Linked DNA regions of Schizosaccharomyces pombe. Changing the gene in region 4 together with the main gene of any one other region gives a genetic interaction. Each region holds a gene or a part of one and is shown on either strand. Other genes may lie near its edges.

Region 1 (7,791 bases), on a different chromosome or scaffold from region 4:
TTTACGGTGCTAGCCAAGTGATTCAGCTCATTCTTCATAGTACTGGCAGCAATACTGGTAGCGGTGTTGTCAAAAGCAAAAGCCGATTGCGACTTGCTGTGCTGACGACCGAGGGGACGTGGTGCCAAATCCATAGTGCTTCTGTCTCTTTTCGAAGTTAAAACGTTCTCTTTAAACCTCTAAAACAAACAATTTCAATGTTTGTTATGATATACGGAGAGAGTAAGTTACAAGTAGGTGCTCGTTTTATATAGCGGCACTTACGTCACCTTTCCTGTCGACATTTGTTTAGATTACGTGTAAACAACAACCGACAATTTTCAACTTTGAGCATGGCCAAACGGACGATAAACGTTTGTTAAATCATACATGACATTAATAAATCTACAAAAAATTTCAATCTATTCCAACGTCGCATTCTAAAGGTTTATTGCGAAAAACATGCTTGCTGAACGCAAGTAAAATTTTTATTTATTTACAAATTTGTTTACAACAAGAAAGTGGGTTGTTATGACGGCGGAAATCAATTGGTGGGGTTTTCGCCGTACGTAAACAAATTATCAATAATCAATTACCGTGTTCCAAGGTTTTATACGTAGTTACCTAGGCAACATCGCAACAGCTATCGAAATCGAATGTACACGAAAAGTTTGGAAATATCCGATATAAGAATATTATTCATAAAGAGAGGTACTTAATGTAGACGGAAAACACCACTTATTAGCCGATGGAGGATGGAAAATGGCTCTAAAATATGAACATTATTAACTAACTATATGCAAAACGCAGTAGATCTCTAAAAATGAACCAACTAGTTAGTTAGTGTATGCAAAAAAAGGCCAAGGAAGGCGAGTAGAAATTCAAACAAAGGTTCTGCTAAGCAGAGCGAGGCGAAAGTAATATGGATTTGAAGTTGTCAGCAAAAAAACGAAAAACAAAAAAAAACGAATTATTAAGCAAGCTTCTTTAATGAAAAAAAACCTTATATAATAAAGAAATGTGAGTTAAAGAAAGTTAGCTAACTTGATAACTGAGAAAATGTAAGAACCATAAAAGGTTAACGAAAAAAGATTTAGGGAAAAAACGAGCATTAGATTGGTATGAAAAGGCAGGTGGATAATAGAAAATGCTAATTAAAATAAAAGGAACAACAACAACAACAAAATATACGAAATTGAACGAAAAAAAATTTCGACTTTAATGGGCTGCCGATAGAGCAAAGAAAGCACTTGTGCTATATTAAGACAACAAAAGTCGAGATTTTGGGATTATTAAATTTGGCCTTTAGTAAATGAAACTGTATGGGAGAGGAAAAAAAAATGCAAGCTTTAATGAAATGAAGTAGTAAGAGAGCAGACAGGTAAGAGAAAAAATAGGATTACCGTCATAATAGCGAAAAAAAACGTTTCAAAAAGAAACAATTAGAGGTTCAAAATGTGACTGAAATAAATTAAAAAAAGAATACGTTCCGTATTTCGAAATAAGAAACAGCAAAAGTAAAGTGTAACAATGAAAAATGAAAAGTGAAAATAAAAGAACAAAACAAAATTCTCACAAATCATAAACATTAACGAACGAAAGTGGAGTTATGGATGTGGAATCGACCAGGCTGACTCCGCTAATGAGTCATCGGTTTTCTTTCTCTCCATGGAGTACTGTTCATCACGGGAAGGCTCTATATGCAACTGAGGAAGAGGCTTTTGCAAATTTGGCCGTGGACGAGAACGTAAAACGACGAAACCTTTTTCAGATTCTTTCGGGGGGTCTGAGTGCCATATGGACTTAGCTGTTGATTGGACAATTTGCCACGCCCGTTGAAATGCATTTTTCGGAGGAGGTGGAATAGCAGTGGGCCTCATTTCAAATGGTTGCGAAGAGATTTGCGATAGACTGTCAATACTTGTGTCTACGTGTGGATGATAGACATCGGCCTCACGAACCGCGTAATTAACATCATGGCGTAGTAAATTAGGCTTGTTGTTTAAAAAGTCTAATTGTAAAGCACGTAGTTGATCCATGTCCCGTTTACGAACAGATGACTTTGGTTTAGGTGGACGGTAAAATGAATATCCTTGTGATGTGCTGTATGGAGAACTGGGAGTAACAGGAGAATCCAACATTAGACTACTTGAAGATGCTGTATTGTTCTTAGAAGGGACAAGACTCGACGCTTGCGTAACTGGAGGAATACAGTTAGTCTGAACGAATAATTTTGGCGGAGCAGCCTCGCCATCCTTCTTAAGGGAATTAGAACAAACGGAGACTGGCGTAAGTGGCACTGACATTTCATTTGAGTTGTAGGTAGAATGATCAAACATCATTGTGTTGCCATTGGAATATGGATCCTTAAGACGCCGGCGTCTCAATTCATTAATACCAAATACCCTGGCCCAACCAAATGGTCGATCGAGTGGGACACCTTTACTCTCACTTTTAGCACCTAATAACCGTGCACTGACTTCCATAAATCGTTGAGTTGACAGAAGTAAGAAAAGGATACAAACCATTATGTGAATAAACAAAATTGCATAGGCCAGTAAATCTCTACTAATGCCAAGAACCTTTAATCGAGGATCTAAGGGAATCATTAGAATAACCGTGATCAAGCGCATGGTAGAGATGAAGGTGTTTAACGTATTCATACTCGTCTGCGGGAAATGTGGTCGCACATAAGCATACGCCACGACATTAGCAACTTCAAGTATAAAGAATATGGCTAATTGTGCAGAGCCGGAACTTCCTATGACACCAACCGTAATACCACGCATAAATTGTACGGCAATTGGAAAGATCCAAAACATAACTCTCTCTTCTCGAAACGAATTGTATATAGAGCCAAATAAATGCAAATATGTTTGATCTTCAAGAAGTTTGGACGATGGTTCAACAAAAGCGAGATTCATATATAAATACACCGGAATAAAGATTCCAAAAAAGATAAACCACAAAACGGGGATAATTTCATAACCTGTGGGCGGTGCGACAAACTGGAATGACATATAAGCGACGGTAGGGAAATATGTCAAGAAGTAAAGACGTATCAGAGAACCAGCAATGAAGCTCCAAGTATCCCACCGAGTTTCGGCAATAGTTTCATTGAAAATTCTAGACATAAGCCATTTCAAAAAAATAACCAACAATGCTACAAATAACGCAGCAAATAAGTAAATAACCATGACTATAAGAAACGGAAGCCAGCATGCAGTACCTATTCCTATAGAATCGAGAAACGAATACATGCCATATGACTTAGGCAAATAATCCGCATAACTAGAGGATGCTACAGACAAGTCGGCAAAGTCTGCAAATTGATATTCAGCAGGCTCGGAGAAAATGGGAAATCGAAATAGAGCAGTGCCCCAAGAAAGAGCAGCCATAATATTTATGTAAAATTTTGGAAACATAACACTAACCTGAGCTGTAGAAACAGCAAATTGCAAGTATTGCACAAAATCAAAAAATCCAAGGGATGTTAAACGAAGAGCATCAGGGTCCATATTAAAATTAAAAATCGACTTAAATGGATCTAAACTGCCGGTCCATGGATTTAAAAAAAGAGCATAAATAATGGAAAACGAGACATATGCGAGCGACACAACAACCAAATATGAAATAACTGGATAAAAATAATACAAAGTTGTGGACAAACCAAACTTCATACAAGTTATTACATTTTTCTCGGGAGTACCGTCAACAACGATTACTCGCGTTGTTAATGTAGTCAATTCGTATTTTGAGTAATCGGACAAGGTGGATTTAAAGGGAACTTTAACCATGAAAGCGGCACTTCCAGCTGCCCAAGGACATTTTATGGGGACTTCAAAAGAATGAGGATCCATAACAACATCACAAAGCTTTGTGGTATTGGATGTGACCAGTTTTCCTAACGCATAAGTTTCCGAATAAACTGAAGCAGCGTGAATATGTGAGCCATTTCCACCCACAATCGTTATAACTCCGGATAAATTCCCCACTACTTGAATGTAGTACATCCGATTCACTTCATCAAAATTCTTGATAACTGCATATGGGCTAAAGGTAGGAATACCTGCTCTCGGTACAAAGTTTGAACAAGTCTCAAAATAATCCAAACTTGGGGATCCATTCACTGCTGAAAGAAGGCTGTAAAAAACGATATGAAGAAAGAGGAAAACAGAGTACGGGCGAGGCTTCATTATTATCCAAACACAAACATTCTAATAAATTTTAATATAAATAGATCCAACCTTGAATTCTTTTGATTCTCTATGAAACGAAATTTGAAAAAGACTTTAACTGCTCAGGGTTGGTAATTTGAGCAATTACAAATGCAGTTATTTAGAAAGAAAAGAAGGTTTCAAAAAATGAATGCTTTGTAAGATATAAGTAGGCCAGAGACGCGAAACACATAAATTGCTATTTCTCGTGTGTGTAGTTAATGACAAACACATGCTCTCGCGTTCCTTGTCCTAGTATTAGATAATAAAGATTAACTACGCAGCACGTTAGTGAAATTTTATGAAAAATTTCCGGCTCGTTAAATAAATAACATAATAATATACTATTTCGTTATTTTCCAAAGACAAATCTGCTCAAGAAAAGGTCCTAACATTAGCGCTTTATATGCATATATTATAAACCATACAGCGCTATTGAGATATAAAAAAAAACAAATAAGACAAGAAGAACTCAGTAACGTTCTCAAAGACGTTTAAAACTCGAGTCATAAAGTCCCTTCTGCTTTGGTCCTTCAAAATTAAGACAAGCTATCTACTCGTTATTTTTAGTTCTAACTTATCACATAAATATATACATTTAAAATTATTGAAATAATATTCTTGACTTGTTAGATATATAACGTACATTAAATCATCATTACGGGACCAGCTCGCCAAAAGTTTGCTATACTTAGTCTAACATAAATATTTCACTTTTCAAAATTTACGTTTCTTTCCTGAAGCCACGAGTGCAGAGTGTCCAAAGATACATAAACACCGTGCTTTAAAAGTATTTCGAGAAGGTCGTTTGAGGAAATACGTAGGGCATTTGAATTTTTCCATAAATAATGATACAACTTTTTTCCACCAGGGCTTCGAAAGAACGTTGAAATATTAGAAGAACACATTACTTGAGGAACCAGGAGATTATCAGCAACTTTCTTTTCATCGTGTTCGCAATTAACTATCGGATCGGACTCAAGGGTGGTAAAAGACTCTTCTCCAGAATCAGAGGTTGGAAATACCGACATACCAAAACAAGAACCAGCTTGTTCAATATCATAGCGATTATCATCATCGATACGGGTGCATACTCCTCTCAACATGTTTAACTCCCCACTTATCGAAGGTACTTGTTGGGACAATAAGTCACCCTCATTTCCAATTAGGTAATAGACATTAGTTCTAAATGATGATATCCATAAGTAAGGCGTAATTTGACAACCGATATTGCTGTGGTGGAACCCAGGTTCGACATTCATGAGTTCATCAGACAGAGGAAACTTTGGCTTATGCCTTTTAGCAATAGAAATAGCAATTTCTGGATGAACAACTTTGGACTTAAATTGTCTCTTACTAACACGAACTCTAGAATCTTCTGAAACAGAAGCCGTCATAAGTAACGGCTTTTTCTTGGGAATGGTATGGCCAAAGCTTAATGGGGTCAAGCTTTCTGAATGCAATTGATCAACGGAATTATTTTTTTCTTCAAAATATTTGGTAACTCTTGATGTAATACTGTTATAAGAAACCTTCGATTTAGAAGAACGAATGTGTGGTTTCTCAACTTTAGTAAAGTCATGAATATTAGCATTATCCTTTTTCAGGAAAGAATGCAGCGTTTTCTGTCGCGGTGCTGCATGGACTTTCATCTGGTATCGAAACCGCTGAACCTTCTCTGCAAAACTTTGCGCAGCATCATTTTCTTCAACATTAACGTCGTTTAAATTTAAAGAGGGTGCTGTTTCACCTTTAGATTCAATCATTTTTCTTAACTTAGATTTTAAACAACGCAGCACACTTCGTCGATGGATTTATAAGCATCCAAAGACATTTGCTTCTTGTCTTACAAAAAATAGAAAAAGAAAATATATTTTAATCACAAGAGTCAAGGTTAACAAAGAGACTTCATAGTAAAACTACCTGTTGGTTTTTGAGATGAGTTTTGGCGAAACAGGTTACTATCAAATCCCAAAACATAATTTATTTATATCGTTAAGTCTCGGTAAATTGATAAAATGCAGGATTGAGTATTTAATTAAGTAAAATTATATCCATAAAAATAGTTTTAATAAGTTTGTTAGGTCGCTAAAGCAACTAATAGGATATTAGACTCCGGAAAGACATCCTTAATTGTAAATGCCTGGCGAGTATTTGCTAACCGGAATGCTTCGTCCGGGAGAATATCAATATGCGCTTTAACACCCAATTCTTCCAACATGACCTGAGGTGTTGAAAGTTCTGAAACCATTAAATATCCATGATAAATATTTTTTTGTACCTTTGGAAGTCTCTCTATATATTTTAAGGCCCAGAAACGATTAATGTATCTTCCTATAGTTTTAATTGATTTTTCTTTTTGGTTGTACAAATTTAGTTTTCCACGAAGAATACCATCAGGTATAGTATTTTTTGGAGTCTTTAATAATACCGACTGAATCTGATGATGAGTGAAGAAGTCGGTAAACCGGCGTAAAGGAGAGGTAGACTGAATATAGCCATCCTTTAGCCCCAAAGAAAAGTGGGAAACAGGTGTGGAGGCTAAATGTGAACTTTCAAATAAAGGCATTACAGAAAGTGAATACTTAGTTTCAACGAGTCCCCAAGATGACCTGTTACTTAACAAAGTTTCAAACGCTTTTCTTCGTACACCATCCATAATTGGATAAGGCTGGCCCCTAAAAATCCCAGGTAATTTATGTTCTTGAAAAAATAATGATGAAACCCGGCCAGCCAATATCATGCACTCTGATATTACTGATTCTGCCAAGCTATACCCTTCACTAACGTTCAAACTAATTGTAGGGAAGGAAGACCAGTATACTGGATGATTCAGATCACCAAGATTATAAGGGACATTATTAGGCAGCAATTCAACTGTCGGAGTGGGTTGTGCAATAACAAACGCAAACTTTTGTAACCTAGAAAAACAGGCTTGTTTCGAAAGTTCATATATTCTTAATATATCTTTCATGTGATCATTTGATACTCCTTTTGTTTCCTCATCCACTGGTCCAGAAACGATGTCTTTCGCAATTGATCGATTACTATGCAAAGCTTTATCCAGTTGTTGGGGTGTGTATTTGATAACTGAGGAAATGAAGCTAGGCCGAACCTTGTAATCAAGTATATCGCCATTTTTTGAAATTTTAGCACTAAAAGTTAATGCTCTTTGAGCTGTAGAAGATGAATCTAAACTCCAATATTTCTGAGTGATATTGAGAGGTAGCATATACACAATTTTGTTGGGATGATAAATAGTTTGAAAGTTCCTTTCAGCAAACGTGCCTAAAGGACTGCGAATGTCAACTGTACTCGTAGGATTAGCAACATGGATATGAAGCCAGGAATTAGACATCCCTAATTCTTCAACCGAAATCGCATCATCTATCTCTTTCGTAGAAGAACTATCAAAGGCGAACGCTTTAAGATGCCTTAAATCGACGCGTTGCGATTCAAGTGAATCTTTTAATTCATTTTTTACAAACTTTTTAAAGTGATTACACTCACGTTCATACACAGCATCTAACTGAGGATTAGTACCAAGGCCAGCAATGCTGTATTCCTGTTGAAACAACCTCGGGGGCTGCCATGA
Region 2 (4,987 bases), 470 kb from region 4:
TTAGATGAAGAAGGTGCCTGTGAATACCCTAAACTTATTGTTAACTTATTAGTCAAAAGAAAAAAAAGAAAACATACGCCTCGCGTAAGAGGAAGAATCTTGCATTTATAGTAATACAAGCAGATTGTTGTCTTTTATCGTTGGAGACGTTAGTTATAACAACAAAACCACTTTGCTAAGTAACAAAAATAACAGTGAATAGCGATTTCCAATATAGAACCGCAAAAATTTATAGTGAATCGCTTTGCAACTTAAAAAAGATATCGACAACGGCAGGATTCGAACCTGCGCTCCCAAAGGGAATCCGCTGGGCTACAGAATAGCAGGCGAACGCCTTAAAACCACTCGGCCACGTTGTCACAGCTTACTAGGAAATAGTAATTAGTTATACATGAAGCTATTATAGACCTGTGTGTTAACTTAGATTGGTAAAGATTTGATGTTTTTTAAGTTATTACAGAATTTTAGAAGCAAACGAGAATTACTAGAAATATTTAGGTAGAAAATGGTGCAATGAATGACAATAATTCAATCATTTTGAACATAATGCTATATATAACAATCGGTATCATTTTAATCTGCAAAATTCATAAAGATTTATAAGATAATAATCTTATAATGTAGATAACTTAACTAAACGTGTAGCATTCTAAATATCCTATAATGTAAAACAACCAAAATTAGAAATCTAGTATTTTAGATTTAAATGAGAATGAGAAAAGATGAGAAAATGCGAAACTATAATACGAAAGCTAAACCTCGATTTCACGAACAAAATTTGACGGAAATTGCCCACGGTTATGGTCATCCTCTCCAACGACAAATCCCTCCCACCAGCCGTCTTCATAAAGCTTAAGAACTGCAATGGTATCTCCCTTCCTGAAGCTTATCTCTTCGGGTATTGCAGCATCATAATCATATAAAGCAGATACTAAATTCAAGTTAGTAATTGTAATAGCGATGGACAGATTAGACATACCATAACCAAGAATACGTTGACCATCTGTACTTGTTGGATTATCAATACTGGTGTCACCGCCGTCTGTAGGATATGCAGGTAAAGAAAGTCGGTTAGACGTGTTTCCAGTAGCTTTTGTATTTATTGTATCATCAACAAAGGAAGAGTCCCGATCAGTATAAGGCTCGTCATCGGTAGGTGCAGTACCACTTGCTGGATCAACTCGAACACCGAAATCATAATTTGGCTCTAAATTTCCTGGTGTTAAGGAACGAGGAAGTCGGCTGGCATTCTGAGAAAGGGAAGAGGAAGGACGTTTTGGTGACCTACTTTTCCTCAATGTGAATGAACTTCGAGATCCATTCTTTCTTGAATCATAAACGGGTGAAACCGCACGATTCTCCATTTGTAGTACACTACCAAATTCTTCCTGAATTTGTTGACGCCGTGATGGAGTGTTAACATTTGGGCGGGAGTCCTCGGTGAAAGAAACAGAATTAGGACTTGGTAGAGAACCAAGTTCGTTATACCTTGGTGGTAGTGTATTAGAGTTAGGGAAGGCACCAGGAGCAGCAGGCGTAGGATTCTGTTTTGGCTCTTCTTGTAAAGAAAGATGCTTCATCTGTTCATCAGCCGCTGAAGTTAAAGGAGAGTCATTTCTCGGACTTGATAATGCATCCGGAGCCGTATTACCAACGTTTGGAGTCGAAGGACGACTCGTTAATTTAAACTTACTCAAAAAGCTTTTCTTTGGAGAGCTTCTACCATTTTGGGAAGAGTTAGAAGAAACAGTGGTAAGCGATTGAATTGCACTAGGAGTATTAGGAAGGGTATTTTCGAAGGACGACTCATTACGAGCGGTGGCAGAAAGGACGTATGGACGATTCAATGGCATGTTGTCATTTTCTATTTTGGTTTGGGCCCGCTGAAAATTAGCCTGAACCAACTCTACAGAATCATCGGGAACCTCGCCCTTATAATAGTCATAAAATTTTGGAGGTTGAGGAATTCCCGTTCCTGTAGATTTTGCGTCAATAAATTCCAAAACATCCTGAGAGACACTGCACTGTTCAAGATTTTTGCGAATTCGTTCACATGCTTGATCATCATTAAAGCAACTACGAGAGATAAGTAGTGTAAATGTCCACATGACGCTTTTCAGGAAATGTCTTCTTTCTTCTTCAATGTCCTGAAGTTTGTCACAGGTTGACCGCCATTCGTTGGTCCAACGAGCGTATGAATCTCTGACAGCTGCTACAGCTGATTGATAGTCAGAAGAACTAGCAGTGATAGCATTCTGAGTCTTGTTTAATTTCGCATTGTTCTTCTCTAGCTCCTTTCCGAAAAGCATGTTTTGCTGAGAAACATAGTAATTTACTTTCTTGCACAAGTAATGGTATTTGTCTTGAGCTTTAACAAGAGCTTGATGCTTGGAGAGTTTATCCTTATGAACTTTTTCTATCCCCGAAACGATCATCTTTTTCTTGTCCTTTAAAGAGGCAGCGTACCGCGTAAACGCATTTTCGACATCATCCTGAAGCAACTGAGAAATCTGCAAATGAGACTTTGCCATATTGTCAACTTCAGCTTTCATAACTTGGACTGATTCTTTGAGGCAACCAGTTTCCAAAGAACTGAAGGTTGTTCGAGACAACTTTGCCATTCGCTTGGCATAATCTTCTTCAATGTTCGCTCTAAGGTTGAAGTTAGAATAAACGATCATAGCATGTTAAACCCTGCTTCACCTCAAATTTCTCACCTTTCATGATAAAACGACCGAAGCTCTTCATTAATGTGTTTCACATCGCTAAAACGCGAAAGTAAAGCATGATAACCCTCATCATTTGCACCCTAATAAAGAATGTTAGTTAAGGTGTTGTGTTTAACACAAAAATCGAAAGTTTTGGCAGATAATGAGCTATCCACGTTGGCTTAGACACCATACCCAAAAGTAATTTGAAAAACTTTTATCAGGCTTTGCTGAAGATGCATTAAAGCTTAATTGTTGAGACATGTAAACGGAAAAAAACACGAATTAAGAGATTTTTCAATCTCGCCTTTATGGCAGTATTCTTTATTCGTATATGGTGGTGGTGTTGATTGTAAATGAAACTAACAACGAGGTAAACAAACGGCAACGCGTTGCCAGGTGCAGCTTTTCATGTCAACAATTAACAAATTTATCAAGAAAACCGATGTAATGAAGATTTTTCAGCCTTAAACTATCAAAAAAAAGCAATAGAATATTGCAGTGGAAAGATAAAAAGCCTTCAAATGCTGAGATATATATGGTGAACAATTGATTCATTCAAAGTCCACTTTATTCATCCTTGAGACTCTATAATTGTTATCTCTGTTAAGCGCACAAGTTTTGCTCACTATTTTGTATTGATTATGTGTGAATACTGTGATTTGAGAAGCGACCCAAGGCAGTCCTGAAAAAAAATACTTACCATAAACTCCGGTAAGCGAACTTATAGACTTAGACATTATGCTAATAAAACAATGATTTAGCATGTATGTATTTGCAGACTTCACGTTCTGTATAGCTATCTCCCGTCTCAAATCGTTTTACTATGTAAAATATTAAATTTTTGAATGGAATGCAACATGCTATTAATCAAAAACTTAATATACTATGCAAGCGGTTCAGGCGTACTGAAAAGTAATATTTTTTAGATAGCTCGATTTGTACCTGCAGCATCATTCGATGTGAATAAAAAATCGTATAATAATTTGTTTACTTAGTGAAATACACTAATCGAAAAAATAAATAAACACTAAAAAAAACATAAATACAACGTTTATGTGAGTCAAATAGATTAAACATATTCATTTATCAGGTACATACAAAACGCCCTTGTAATTCTCGGTTTTTCTTCCAATTTCCATTATTTTCAATCTTATTTTTTATTTCACGAGATCGCATTTCTTAATAACCCGACTTACGTCATGGGTTGGCGGTAGGGACGCTGATATGTTTACTATATATACAGCAGCCGCCCGGCTTCGGCGGTTTATTCTTTAACAAAACAACTGGTGATAAATACTCATTCTATCACACTTAAACACTAGGTGAGATTAAAGTTATTAATTGCTTTTGTCCCTATACATTTGCGAAGTTTTGATAATACGACCAACCTTGAATTTTTTGTACATCCTCTGAAATTATAAATAATGGAACGCGAAGGTAAAGAAGACGTTCGTAAAGCCGACCACAAGATTGTTTATGGTATTGAACGTGTGCGACATGGAATTAACAACTTTTTTGATGACGTTGGAAAAGCAGTAAAGTCGGAAAGCGATACTGCCGACTCCAAGAGAAGTGCTGAGGCGAAAGCCGATGAAGCCCCTGCTAAAATGTAGTGTCTAAAATTACAAGTACTTATACTCACTTTTAAAACATGATCCTCCAACTTTTTGTGATGCTGAACTTTACGATCTTAGCCATGCATGGCGAAAACTGTTTATATATCGAATTGATAAAGCCAGTTTGCACAGCAGCAATAGCATTCTTCGTCTATAAGTTATTCAATACAATGCTTGATGAAAGAGAAAACAAAAATCGTTGTCATTAAAGTATAATAGTATTACGGGTAGTTAAAAATGGATAAATTTAACATCAGTCATACCTTGTTTATATGAAAAGCGATATTCTAAATTGTAGAAGTGTAGTTCTTTTTTATCAATTGCATTCTTCTATTTTCTAGAATAAATCCTCCGCATGCATACGCATGCGCTTTGAGACGAATGTGCCTTGAGTAAAACTGGGTTTGAACTTTGCTTTCCGTTCCTCCGTAGGCTGCGGGCTTGAACTGGAGCTTGTTTCCGTACTCATTGGTATTTGCGATATGAATTCTACGTTTAACAATTCGTTTACATCGACAGGAATACCATTATACTCTTCGTCATCTTGAAGTCCTTCAGTCTCTTCAGAAATTGCTGTCCAGCTATTCTTTGTTTCCACTTTCAAAGCAGCAGAATTTATTTGTGGTGATTGAGGGGTATTTCCCGAAAAATTTCTCCATG
Region 3 (5,867 bases), 160 kb from region 4:
AGGTCGTGTTCGTTGTCTTTCGGTCCATGTTAGCGGAAATTGGCTTGCAAGTGGAGGTGATGATGGAGTTTTACGTATTTGGGAAGTAATGACTGGTCGTTGTGTTTGGAAATGCAGCTTGGACAGTTTTGGTAATGCACATAATATTGATAGCGATGAGGATGCGGTTAATGAATCTTTAAGTCACTCTACAAAGAGCTCTATAATTCAATCACTTGCTTGGGGACCTCTTTCAGATAGTCCAGTGCTTGCTGTTGCTGTTGATGAAACAGTCTATTTCATCACACCCCCGATCTTTTCTGACGAGCAGATTGAAGCTTCTAAAGAATTGTTTACTTCTGCTCCTTACCAAGAATCTAGTGCAATATGGAGAAGAGGAGCCAAACAATCTTTACAATTACATGGTGGTATAGTCCATGCTACTGTTTCTACTCCCAGTAGCATTAAGTCCTTGTCTTGGCATCGTCGCGGTGATTACCTAGCTACTTCTTCTCCTACTTCTTCTAGCCAGGCGGTTCTTATTCATCAGTTGTCAAGAGGTGCAAGTCAATCGCCATTTTCTAAGTCTAAAGGTTCTGTGCAAGCTGTTACGTTTCACCCTACTATGCCTTATCTTCTGGTTGCTACTCAACGATATGTCCGCATATACAATCTTGTTAAGCAAGAGCTTGTAAAGACCTTGTTAACTGGTGTCAAATGGGTTTCGAGTTTAAGTGTCCATTCGAGTGGGGACCATGTCATAATAGGTTCCTATGATAAAAGGCTATGTTGGTTCGACTTAGACTTTTCTTCTAAACCATATAAAAATCTTCGATATCATTCACGTGCTCTTCGCGATGTCTCATATCATCCTTCCCTTCCACTATTTTGCTCTGGCTCTGATGATGGTGATGTTCAAGTGTTCCACGGTCGTGTTTACAGTGACCTTCTGGCTAATCCCTTGATTGTTCCTCTTAAGATTTTGCGGAATCATAAAGTGGTTGATAATGTCGGTGTTTTATCCACATGCTGGCATCCAAAAGAAGCCTGGTTATTCAGTGCAGGTGCTGGTGGAGAAATTCGGATGTGGACTTGAAAAAGGTTTGAAACGTCTTAAATATTTTTGTTTTCTTCACTTGCTTTAAAATTTAGAAAAACTCTACTTTTAAAAATAATGTTTGGTAGTGTTTACTGCAAAAGATACTTTTTCAATGCTGTATTATAGTTTTGCTAACAAGTCGAAAAGATTGTTTTCGTACTTGATTTTGGATATTTAATAGGAATATAGGGGTTTTCGAAAGTTTAAAATGCATTTGTGCAAACTGAATATGTTTTTATTTTTTATTTTTTGGTAAGTTATCTAAAGTATTTAAGTATTACGTGATATCAAAAATCGTAACCGTTGAAATTCAATAGTGCTTTTTATATATCTATAGTTACCTAATCATTAATTGCTTAATTATAAAAATACAGCAAGTTTAAATGCAAGTAAACATGCTGGACTTTGTGGATTAAATGAAATGATTTAAAATCTCCAAGATTTCCAAGACAGCTTTCCTTATAAAGCTAAAATCGATGAAAGAAGTGAAAAAATAACAAAAAAAAAAGAAAAAGAAAGTGATGAGTAAGTCTGAGTTAATCCAAATTAAACTTGACTGATATCGCCTTGCAAGGACGGCAAATAGGGGTATTTTCTATCATAAAATAACCCTCATCTCCAAGTAGGGCATTACAAGCTCCGCAGGTCCAACATTGGCTATGATATTCACCATCAGACCCTTTTACACTGATCCCCAAAATGGGTTTACGGCATTTCTTGCACTTAACAGCATACTTATTATCATAACAAGTCTGACACCAGTATAGGTCGTCACGGTAAATACAGGGTATATTTACATTAAAAACTTCAGAGCAACCAGCGCAAAAATGATGATTTTCATGAAACCAATCATTGTTGATATGGACCGCTTGGTCTTCAATTGGGGTTTTGCAGTGCTTACAGCGAGGACTGAACTGTTCATGATAGTCTAGATGACAATAAAATTTTCCCTCGCGGTAATAAAATCCAACGTGCTCTAAGTTCTGGGAACAAGTATCGCATTTGAAGCATTGAGGGTGTAATTTCTTTCCTGAAGCACTAATTATTCTGCCAGCGCGTAAAGAACCGCCGCAACTATGACAGGATTTTTCAGAATTGCCTCTATAAAGAACTGGTTTTGTAGATGTATGAGAAGATACCATTGAAGGCTTAAGTGAATCTGATTGAAATAAATTATTTGAGGACAAGTTGCTAGGCAATTGTGAAGTGGGGGTGGGCAAAGGATATAAGCTATTAGCAGGAGCAGAATGAAAAGAATGCAAAGCGGGTCTACGATTGGAAAGTTTACTGGATTTCTGTAAAGGAAGAGTAGGAAGTTGTTTGGATGCGAAGGTTTTTTGTCTGTCTTCAATGCAATCATGATCAACAAGCGGCTGTAAACCGGTATGACAATCGTAAACATTTCGTACGTCTGGATAATTAACATGTGAATTCAATTCCTCCGGCGAACTAGGAAACTCATCGTCGTCACTGTATGCAAGAGATGGCAATTCAGGTAAAAGCTCCTTTTTTAAGCTATCGAAAGTAGAAGTAGAAGCAGAGGTTAGTAGTGTTTTTTCCGGCGACGAAACATTAGAACGAGAGAGCTCGTCATCAGGCAGATCAAAACGTACACGATTTTGTTTTATTGTTGGATTCCTCTTGGACAAAGGAGATTCAGGAGTCTTCAAACTTGGTTGCGGTAATGGTGTAGCTATTCGACCTCCAGTAAAGTTAAGTGCTCCATCAGATAACCGAGAACGAACTAAATTGTTTAGCGGGGAGCCATTAGTAGAGACCGGCGAAGAAGGAGCAGCACGAGGACCAGTCAATCGACGTTCAAATCTACAAAAACGAAGTTAGATACCTAATTGGGTAATAACAATAAGACAATAGATTACCTTGGTAATTCTGGAATTGGTGAATGCATTTGCTGATATGCTTCTCAACTATCAGGACACTAATCAACGGAAAGAATTCAGGATCGTTGACAACCTTAAGAAATCAGGATAGCCAAGCTCGCAGGGTATAAATCTAGCCGCAACACTTAAAAACAAGATAAAAAATAGGAAGAGAAGGATAAGGAAGGAAAAACAAAAATCAAGCTGGGATTAACTTATAGAAAATTGTTGCCAACGTAAGGATATATATCTCAAAGAGCGGAGTCCCCCAAAAAAACTAGCTGTATTAAAAAAATGCAATTGTAAGCAAGTAGTTATTATTTAGAAAGCAGTAATATTTGCTTTATCCAAAGTGTTTTAGCTAATAAGTGTTGGCTTTGTTTAAGTGTATATTCCAAAATATAAACAAACATTCGTTGTTATAGAAACCAGCCTCATAATAGGTAACATTGTACCTTTAACGAATACTTAGAGAGTACGTATTCAATGTTTGTATACCAGCAGAAAGTAAAAAAATGCGAATATATTAGTAATTAAAGTGAATTAAGCCATTCCTATGCAGAAAATGTTCCAAACGAAATCAATGTTATTTGTTGGACAATTTTATATGTTGCGATTTCATAATATGGTACAATATCTTTTTATAATTTATTTTTTTTATACTTTGGCAGTAGATTATTGTGGAGCGCGTTATTAATGCTTACTGTATTGTTACAGCTCTTTAAATGTCATTAACTACCCCATTATGCTTTGTCAGGCATACAGCATTTCGCTTATTGTTTCATAAATAGAAACCTAATTTTGGCTTTCAAGCTACAGATTGACCTAAGAAAATTCTTTACCAGTTGTAAGTATAATTGTATAAGAAAAAATATGTAGACCCGTGAGTCTGTTCAGTGTGTAGTTACTTATAAGCGTTGCAATGTGTCGCAAAATGATATTGTATATAAAATTACGATCACACTGTACCACACAAACGTCGTTAAAGGAAAAAACACTTTTTTGACTGTAGATTTGTTAGAAGCAAAAGTGTTTGAGAATAGTTTATGTGCGGAATTCTTTTCGCCTTAGCGGAAGACAGAGATAATCTTCTTGAAAGTCCATCTTTTTCAGCTTTACGAAAAAGGATTCGGGCTAGAGGACCTGATTTTTTTGGTAAGCATAAATTGAATAGCGGACCTTGGAATTTGCACTTTGAGTCAAGCGTTTTGCATTTACGTGGCCCTTCTGATCATTTAACGCCTCAACCTCATGTTGACAGTTTTGGAAACGTTTTGTGTTGGAATGGAGAAATTTGGCAAATAAACCATAGCGATCATCACAAATTTACGCTCAATCGTAATGAAAACGACGGTGCAAAACTTTTTGAACTTTTAAACAATAACCCGGGCGACATTGAAAAAATTTTGGGAAGTATTCAAGGACCTTTTGCTTTTGTTTACTACCAAGTTCGTACAAACACATTGTGGTGGGGAAGAGATCGCTTAGGAAGAAGATCCCTTTTGTATAGTTTACGAGATAGTAATTTCGTTCTCTCAAGTGTAGGAAATTCTAGTGATTTCCGAGAAGTTGAGCCTGGGTTTCATAGTGTGCAGGTGGACTTGATCCCAAAAATTAACTTCTCTAAATCATTAATGCAACTGGAAAAAACAAACCCTCTTCCTCCTGTGGATGAGTCCTTTCTCATGGGCTCAATCTCTTCAGACACTGTGGACACATTGCATACATATCTTATCAAAGCGCTTCAAGATAGAGTTTTAACAATCCCCAAACTGTGCTCTTCAAACCTTGACTGTAGTCATTATAGCCGAGTTTGCGTTCTTTACTCTGGGGGAGTGGATTGCGGTGTATTAGCACGGCTAATGCACGACATAGTTCCCAATAACGAGTCCATCGATTTAATTAATGTGGCTTTTGAAAACCCAAGATTTACAGAGACATACCGTGACAGAGAGACGGGACTTCTTCCTGACAATTTTGATGCATACGACGTATGTCCTGATAGACAAACTGGATTACAAGGCTGGCAGGAGCTTATTTCAGTTTGCCCTGCTCGAAAATGGAATTTTGTTGCTATAAACGTTCCTTATACAGAAGTATGTGAAGCACAGGAAATAGTCAAAACACTTATCTATCCGAACGATTCAGTTATGGATCTTTCTATTGGATTAGCTTTTTATTTTGCTTCACAAGGGCGTGGTGTACTTTTACAAAACGTGGATGATATCAAACTGAAACATCAATTACCTTCCTATACTATAAAAGCTAAAGTCCTCATCAGTGGCCTGGGGGCTGATGAGCAGCTCGGTGGTTATATGCGGCACCTACGAGCGTTTGAACGGAAAGGTATGGCCGGTCTTGAAGAAGAACTGCAATTGGACATTGATCGTATTCCACATCGTAACTTGGGCAGAGATGACAGGGTAATGTCTAATCAAGGGAAAGAGGTGCGTTATCCTTTTCTCGATGAGCGTCTGATGGCTTTGTTTAGCAAAATGAAAACTACTGATAAAATGCGTCTAGATTTAGTTGGAGGTGACAAACTAATTTTACGTGAATTAGGACGTCGATTAGGTTGTCCCTTAGCTAGTCAAGAAAAAAAGAGGGCTATTCAGTTTGGTTCTAAAGCAGCAAAGATGACTCCTGGAACCGGTAGAACATCAGGTCGTAAAAAGTTAGAAGTTTGTATTTAAAAATAATAATAATAATAATAAATTATACTTGAGTATTTCATAAAACTACAAATGTTAACTCATCTCCAAAAGGGAATCAATAGATGAACTAAGCCTTCCTTGTTGCGCATTTAACACAACTTCAATCACTTCACTGTCAAACGCTGGAAACATAGCTCTTAAAGCCGTAATTGCTTCAGCCTTTTCCCGAGCTTGTAGCCTTTCAGCTTCAGCTGT
Region 4 (6,032 bases):
GGACTAAAAGCTGTTTCTCGCAATGATTGGGATGATATGCTAGCCCAAGCCCAATGTAAAGTCCTCAGCGTTGTTAATAGTGAAGAAATAGATGCATATTTACTTTCTGAATCCTCTATGTTTGTGTTTGCCCATAAAATTATCCTTAAAACATGCGGAACCACTACACTACTGGCTAGTTTGCCTCGCCTATTAGAAATTGCTTCTAGTGTTGGCTTTGATCGTCCTCTTCGTATTTTTTACTCAAGAAAAAACTTTTTATATCCCGAACGCCAGCTTGCACCACATACGAGTTGGGAGGAAGAAGTTCGTTACTTACAACTGTTTTTTCCAAGTGGATGCTCTTATGTAGTGGGTCCGACAAACAAGAATCACTGGCATCTGTTTTCTGATCTGGCTGATGATTATTCTTTACTGGAAGATTCCCTTGATCCTGAAGATGAGACCCTAGAGGTACTCATGACTGATATGTCTCCCGAACGCTCGCTTCAGTTTTACGCTCCATCCTTGGATGTTGTTCGGAGCGCTAGAGGTGATGACTATGTTCGAGAAAAAAACAATCTCTCGGGGGGTCACATCCTTGGCAGTTATGTAGCTGATGAATCGGGTGTTAGAGACTTATGTAGTACCTCTGATAAAAAAGCAGTGCTTGATGCTTTTCAATTTGAGCCAATTGGGTTCTCGTCGAATATGATTTACAAGGACCGCTATGCCACAATCCATGTTACGCCTCAAGAACATTGTTCTTATGCTTCATTTGAAACAAATGTTTCGCAATTCCAATTCGGAAGATCCATATCTGAAACAATCGAAAAAACTGTTAAAACTTTTGGTGCAAACAAATTTTGTCTTACCCTTTTCCAGGCTAAAGGTGCGTCTCAAGAGAAGCATTTCTCGGCCAAACTTAAATCTTTTAGCTCTTATAAGCGTGAAGAATTTATAGTGTATGACTTTCCTGGATATGATCTTATATTTGCCAGCTTTACTGCAGTATAAGTTCGGAGAACAGTCAGCTAGATATTTTAAATTATCTGTTGCTATATTTATTATCATTCTTTTTTACGGTGGAGCGTGCCATGCGAATACCCCTTTTTACAATCTTTCATTATGCAAAAAGTAGTCGTCTTTTGTTTGCTTGTTTTATAAAAGGTTTCATAGTTATGAATACCAAAAAGTTTATTATGAATATCTAAATGCAATGCTTATGTATCTAGTCATCGGTTATCTTGTATTATGCTAAAGTAAACTCATTTGCTTTCTTTATTTTGAGTGTTTAGATATTTGTTGTAAGTATGCTTAAAACCTCGGATCAGGTTTATGCTCATTGAAAAATTCCAACTAAAAAACGAATATGCGCAGGTTTTGGTATCTACAAAGAGCTTTTCTTATCTGCAAAGCGTTCTACCAAATGATCGATAGAGGTATCATCTTCAGACGAATTCATTACTTCTTCGAAAGCCTTTAAATCCGTAGAACGTCGACGGCTATTAGATGGCGGTAAACGTTCATTTTGGATATCCAGCTTACGAGCATCATCGAAGGAATTGATAGCATTTTTGATACCCTCAGCTCCCAACATTAAAGTACCCGCAGGTAATCTTTGCGTACCTGACACGTTTTTCAGTTCCGAAACACTTTCCCGTTCTTCTCTAAGCACACTGAATACTCGAGAGATACGGCCAATAGCCATAATCTTGTTTTTAATAATTTGCCTACGAGCTTCAATATCAATTTCTTGGTCGGCTTTATTTTCATTCTCAGATGGAGCAGGCTGTTTATGCTGAGTCGGAGCCGATTCTTTCAAATCCGTTTCATAAAGCTCCTCCTTAGAACATATATTGAGCATTGAAATCAACATTTCAGAAACTTTTTCGCCCACAAATGGAAGACTCCAAGTAAAAACATCCATAAAGTTAGGAAGCCAGTAAGGATGAGGGGAACAATTAAATTGTCTTATATTCATTACATTATTTTCGTATTTCAAAACAGCAGCTTTATTATTGTAAACATCCAAATAGTTGGGTGCTGAAAATATGGTCATCAAAGATGGAAACCCGGTTGTTTTAGTTTTGCGATACATTCGATAGCCCACATCTTGAGCTTCATGAGCACGAATAACGGAGAGGAGATTATTGTTTTCTAAGAAGGTGCAAACAGCTTGGTAACTATAAAAGTAAGAACAGCCACGAACATTATTATGAATAAAATGCTTGTTTGATTTTTCCGATCCAAAATCTTCAAGGGGATCAGACCAGAGTAAATCACACATCAACCCATGAGTTGGAGGCTCACAAAAACGATTGATCATTCGTATATCATTCAAAGTATGTAGTTCGGGTGATAATCCACCATGTACACATAAAAATTGCTTATTCATAATAGCTGCCAAAGGAAGGGCATTAAAAGATTGTAAACAAGCTTCATAAACTTTAATATTATACTTATGAGTACATTCTAACTTGAAGGTAAAATAGTCAGTAAGATGAGCGCATTCGTGATTGCCACGAAGCAACCAAAGCGTTTTCGGATACCATATTTTCAAAGCCCACAAGTACAATAAACACTCAATTGAGAAATATCCTCGATCCACGTAATCTCCAAGGAAAAGATATTGGGTATTTGCTGGATTACCTCCAACTTCAAATAGTTTCATAAGATCATAATATTGGCCGTGAATGTCACCGCATACTAAGCTGTCAGACCGAAGAATATTGCAATACAAACAAAATATCGACCCAAATTAAAATGAAGGAAAAACATAGTCATAAATTACATTTCAAAGTTCTAATATTTTACCTTATAGTAATTAGGGCCTAAATATGAAAGGTGATAATCAACATACCAGTGACAGGTGCATCCACCTCAATCAAGTTGTCTTCTGACTTCAAAATTTCTGTAGCCTTTTTTATAATATACAACGTTTGTTCCTCAGATAAACGGCCTTCCCGAATGAAATGATTGCGAAGAAAATGCAAGTCAGGTTTATCAGGTTCATTAATATCAAAAAACTCCACGTCCGTCGGAATATAAGTTGCTGGTGCTTGAACATCTTTGATTGTTAATAAGACTAATTTCTTTCAAAAATATCCGTACTTTTCACTACTCTATCCAGTGTGCTAACACTAGAGCCATCTTCTTGAACAAATATTGTAAAATCATGAGAAGGAGCTTGATTTTTTTGGCGAATTGCTCGAACTATTGGGTCTTCTAAATTATGAGGACCCGAAGTCATATTAGTAACTTTTGCAAGCCTATATACAGCCTGGGTAAAATGCTAGATATTCTTGCAAAAAGTTTTGGTAGATTCTGGTTTGTTATACTTACATCGTCCCGGCGGTTTTGGAAAATGGTTTAACGAAAAGCAAAGAAATTCGTAATTGCTTTTCTCAATGAACCATGTGAACAAAAAACATATCTGTTTACAATTCTAAGTACTTTTTTTTTTTTTTATAATATAGATATATTTCATCATAATCTTTACTTCTGTATATTTAAAAATTTACAAACAATCGCCGCTTAGACAAACATATCTTAATAACCAATCGTGTTAGTAATAAGAAATGAACTTGTAGAAAGGGAACCCAAATACTACCTGAATTCCTTCCTAATTATATTGCCTTGCTCATTTTTGAGAGAAGCAAACTAAGTTGATTTGATGAAACTTACATTCCATGATTACCTAACTGAAATAACGATAGTTTTATTGATAAAATAAATATCCATAAAACACTTTAAGAGTTAATAATCATTTTATTTTTTGTTTAGACGGCTACGTCAAATTTTAGGTTATTGTAAATATTCTTTGATTTCTCATCGCTTTCCGTAGTAAAGAATTAGACAAAAGCGATTTTTAGAAAGAATAAGCAAAATAAATGTAAATTTGGGTATTTTATTAGAAGTAAAGGAAATAGAAAAGAGTGTTGCAAGTGTGAAGATATATGCAAAAACTAAAACATATGTAAAATTATGGGATAAAGCCAAAGGAAAGAAATGAATAATGCAACAAATGTAAAAAATTAACCATATCTTACAAACTTTTATGCTCTCAATAGGACATTGGAACACTTCTAAGAAAGAGAATTCCAAAGCACACAAAAAAGCTTAATCTTTCTTCTCGGTGGGTTTGGTAACAGAAGAGGACTTGTCATTTTGAGAATTATCAGATAGCGTAGTAGCTTTGGTAATTGTACTATTATTAGTAGGTTTTTGCTCATTGTTTGTATCGGTTTTAAGGAAACGTGTAGCATCTAGTATTTCAGAGGCTTGTGGGTATTTACCTTTTTCTTGAACCCCATGGACAATATCGGTAAATGACTTAACAAACGATTCATTTTGAGCGTTCGGTACTGGCATAGCAGATGGGACTTCTGGTAAGCCAAGTTTATGCCTTATGGTGGATGAACGCAAAAATGCCCCTTGAAATACACTGAAGACATTGCTAGGAAACCAATACATAAAAATTGCCATAGGAAAATTCATAGTGAATAGTGGACTGGCAAGGCAAAGAAATCTAAAAAATTTTTTCATTGAGGGAGACATAGCAACCTTATTACTTCCAGTTTCGCTACCAAGCTCTATATTGAGCAGCATAAGAAGGCCGTTTGCAACCGGAAATATGTGTAGAGGATCAGGCTGGGATAAATCATTAACCCACCAAAAACCACCATCAGTGAAACCCTCTACAGGTACACCCGCCATTGTCTTCAACGCGTAAAAAAAGCTAATAAACAGAATTCCCTGAAATACAGGAGCAGAAAGCAAATTCAAAGGGTTAACATTGTTAACTTTATAAAGGTTTTGGATTTGAGTGGTAGCTTGCATCATTAATTCGCTGTTTCCTTCAGCCTTTGCTTTACTCAACACACTCATGTGTTCAGCAACCTTTGGGTTAATGATAGCGAGCTTTGCGGACGTTTTCATCATCTTTAACATAATAGGAAATACTGCAATTCTCATAGCAACAGCACATGCAGCAATTGAAGCCCACCAAGGAAGGCCGCTCCAAATATGAAGCGTATTAAGGCCGTTTTGGAGGATATTATGAGGTAAGAAAGAAAAAGATGCTAAGACGGAGGACGACAATGGCAGACTAGGAGTGTAAACCACTTTCTCGGACCTAGATTTGGGGAAAGAAGTCGAAGAGTTGTGAATTTTTATTAAGGAAGAAGTACGCTGATTTCGGCCAAGCTTAGCAAAAGAGAAATTCTTAAAAAATGTATTATGTGTGTGGATCTGGCGAATCTTCGCTCCTTGTGTAGCAATCAAAAAGCATGATACCGAGTAATGAGATTTCGAAGAAAACTTTATTCCTCTTCCAATGACTGAAAACATGCTTGATTAATAGTGAAGCTCGAACTTCAAGGATATATGTTTTTACAAATCGAAGAACCAGCTAATGTTTATCCAAGATACCCAAAAATAAAATGAAGCGATTAAACCCAAAAAAACATATAAATAGATCCAAAATCCTCTAATAAAAATTTAATTGCAAGTTAAAAGTGGGTAAATTAACTGGTAAAATAACCTGAAAAGGTAGTAGAGATATTGAAATTTAGTTGTGTGCGCGTTGGCACACGGTGTAGTGTGGTATCTGTCGTTATATAAGTAAATACATACTATTTTTTGACTATTTATAATTAGATTGTTTCACACAGTTAAATCTGACACAAGCGTCAAAGTCAACAATGAAAATAAACTAGCAAAGCGATCGTTTGACCAATAATGACATTGGTTTATGTTACAAAGAAGTTAGTGATACATGTGTTTTTTGATTTAGAAGTTATGGCAAAAGCGGTTATTGATTCTAAAGAGGATATAAAGATTTAAGCGAGTTCTCTTATTTTTTTTTTTTACATTTCCTTGGTATATTGAGAAACGAGTCTTTGGTTAAACATGAATAGAATATGACTATAGTACATGTTTAGTTATAGTGAGTAATAGTGGATATTAATACTAACGAATTGCAGTGACAATACTTATGAATTGTCAATATTAATGAAAGATAACGATTTATCGTTATACTGTCAACAAAT

What was found.
Region 1: of ppb1 (region 4) and trp1322, extra expression of one rescues a mutant of the other (dosage rescue), as found in Schizosaccharomyces pombe (one study listed by BioGRID).
Region 2: mutations in ppb1 (region 4) and imp2 are lethal when combined (synthetic lethality), as found in Schizosaccharomyces pombe (2 studies listed by BioGRID).
Region 3: of ppb1 (region 4) and pxl1, a mutation in one rescues a mutant of the other (synthetic rescue), as found in Schizosaccharomyces pombe (one study listed by BioGRID).

Annotation. Positions count from the first base shown.
Region 1 is NC_003421.2:1,284,521-1,292,311, reverse strand, and holds trp1322 (TRP-like ion channel protein), read right to left. Parts: upstream 4,423-7,791; 5' UTR 4,176-4,422; coding exon 1,587-4,175; 3' UTR 501-1,586; downstream 1-500. Other genes in the region: fyu1 (UTP-glucose-1-phosphate uridylyltransferase), read right to left, coding at 1-134; pxd1 (protein Pdx1), read right to left, coding at 4,907-5,962; rpm1 (3' ssRNA-specific 3'-to-5' exonuclease), read right to left, coding at 6,277-7,791.
Region 2 is NC_003423.3:3,345,966-3,350,952, reverse strand, and holds imp2 (F-BAR domain protein Imp2), read right to left. Parts: upstream 3,054-4,987; 5' UTR 2,973-3,053; coding exon 2,904-2,972; exon of another isoform or gene 2,810-2,903; coding exon 2,718-2,809; exon of another isoform or gene 2,653-2,717; coding exon 980-2,652; exon of another isoform or gene 932-979; coding exon 753-931; 3' UTR 501-752; downstream 1-500. Other genes in the region: protein Ndc80, read right to left, coding at 1-28, 78-105; protein tam11, read left to right, coding at 4,136-4,324; SPOM_SPBC11C11.01 (U2-associated protein), read right to left, coding at 4,665-4,987. UniProt on the Schizosaccharomyces pombe protein: Required for normal septation. Involved in the disassembly of the medial ring during septation.
Region 3 is NC_003423.3:2,709,632-2,715,498, reverse strand, and holds pxl1 (paxillin-like protein Pxl1), read right to left. Parts: upstream 3,332-5,867; 5' UTR 2,988-3,331; coding exon 2,959-2,987; intron 2,903-2,958; coding exon 1,615-2,902; 3' UTR 1,292-1,614; downstream 1-1,291. Other genes in the region: erb1 (WD repeat/BOP1NT protein), read left to right, coding at 1-1,075; asn2 (asparagine synthase), read left to right, coding at 4,005-5,651.
Region 4 is NC_003423.3:2,871,197-2,877,228, reverse strand, and holds ppb1 (calcium-dependent serine/threonine protein phosphatase calcineurin catalytic subunit Ppb1), read right to left. Parts: upstream 3,308-6,032; 5' UTR 3,233-3,307; coding exon 3,094-3,232; exon of another isoform or gene 3,050-3,093; coding exon 2,843-3,049; exon of another isoform or gene 2,689-2,842; coding exon 1,370-2,688; 3' UTR 1,120-1,369; downstream 1-1,119. Other genes in the region: S-adenosylmethionine decarboxylase proenzyme Spe2, read left to right, coding at 1-996; oxa102 (translocase Oxa101), read right to left, coding at 4,102-5,331. UniProt on the Schizosaccharomyces pombe protein: Calcium-dependent, calmodulin-stimulated protein phosphatase. This subunit may have a role in the calmodulin activation of calcineurin. Appears to be involved in cytokinesis, mating, transport, nuclear and spindle pole body positioning, and cell shape.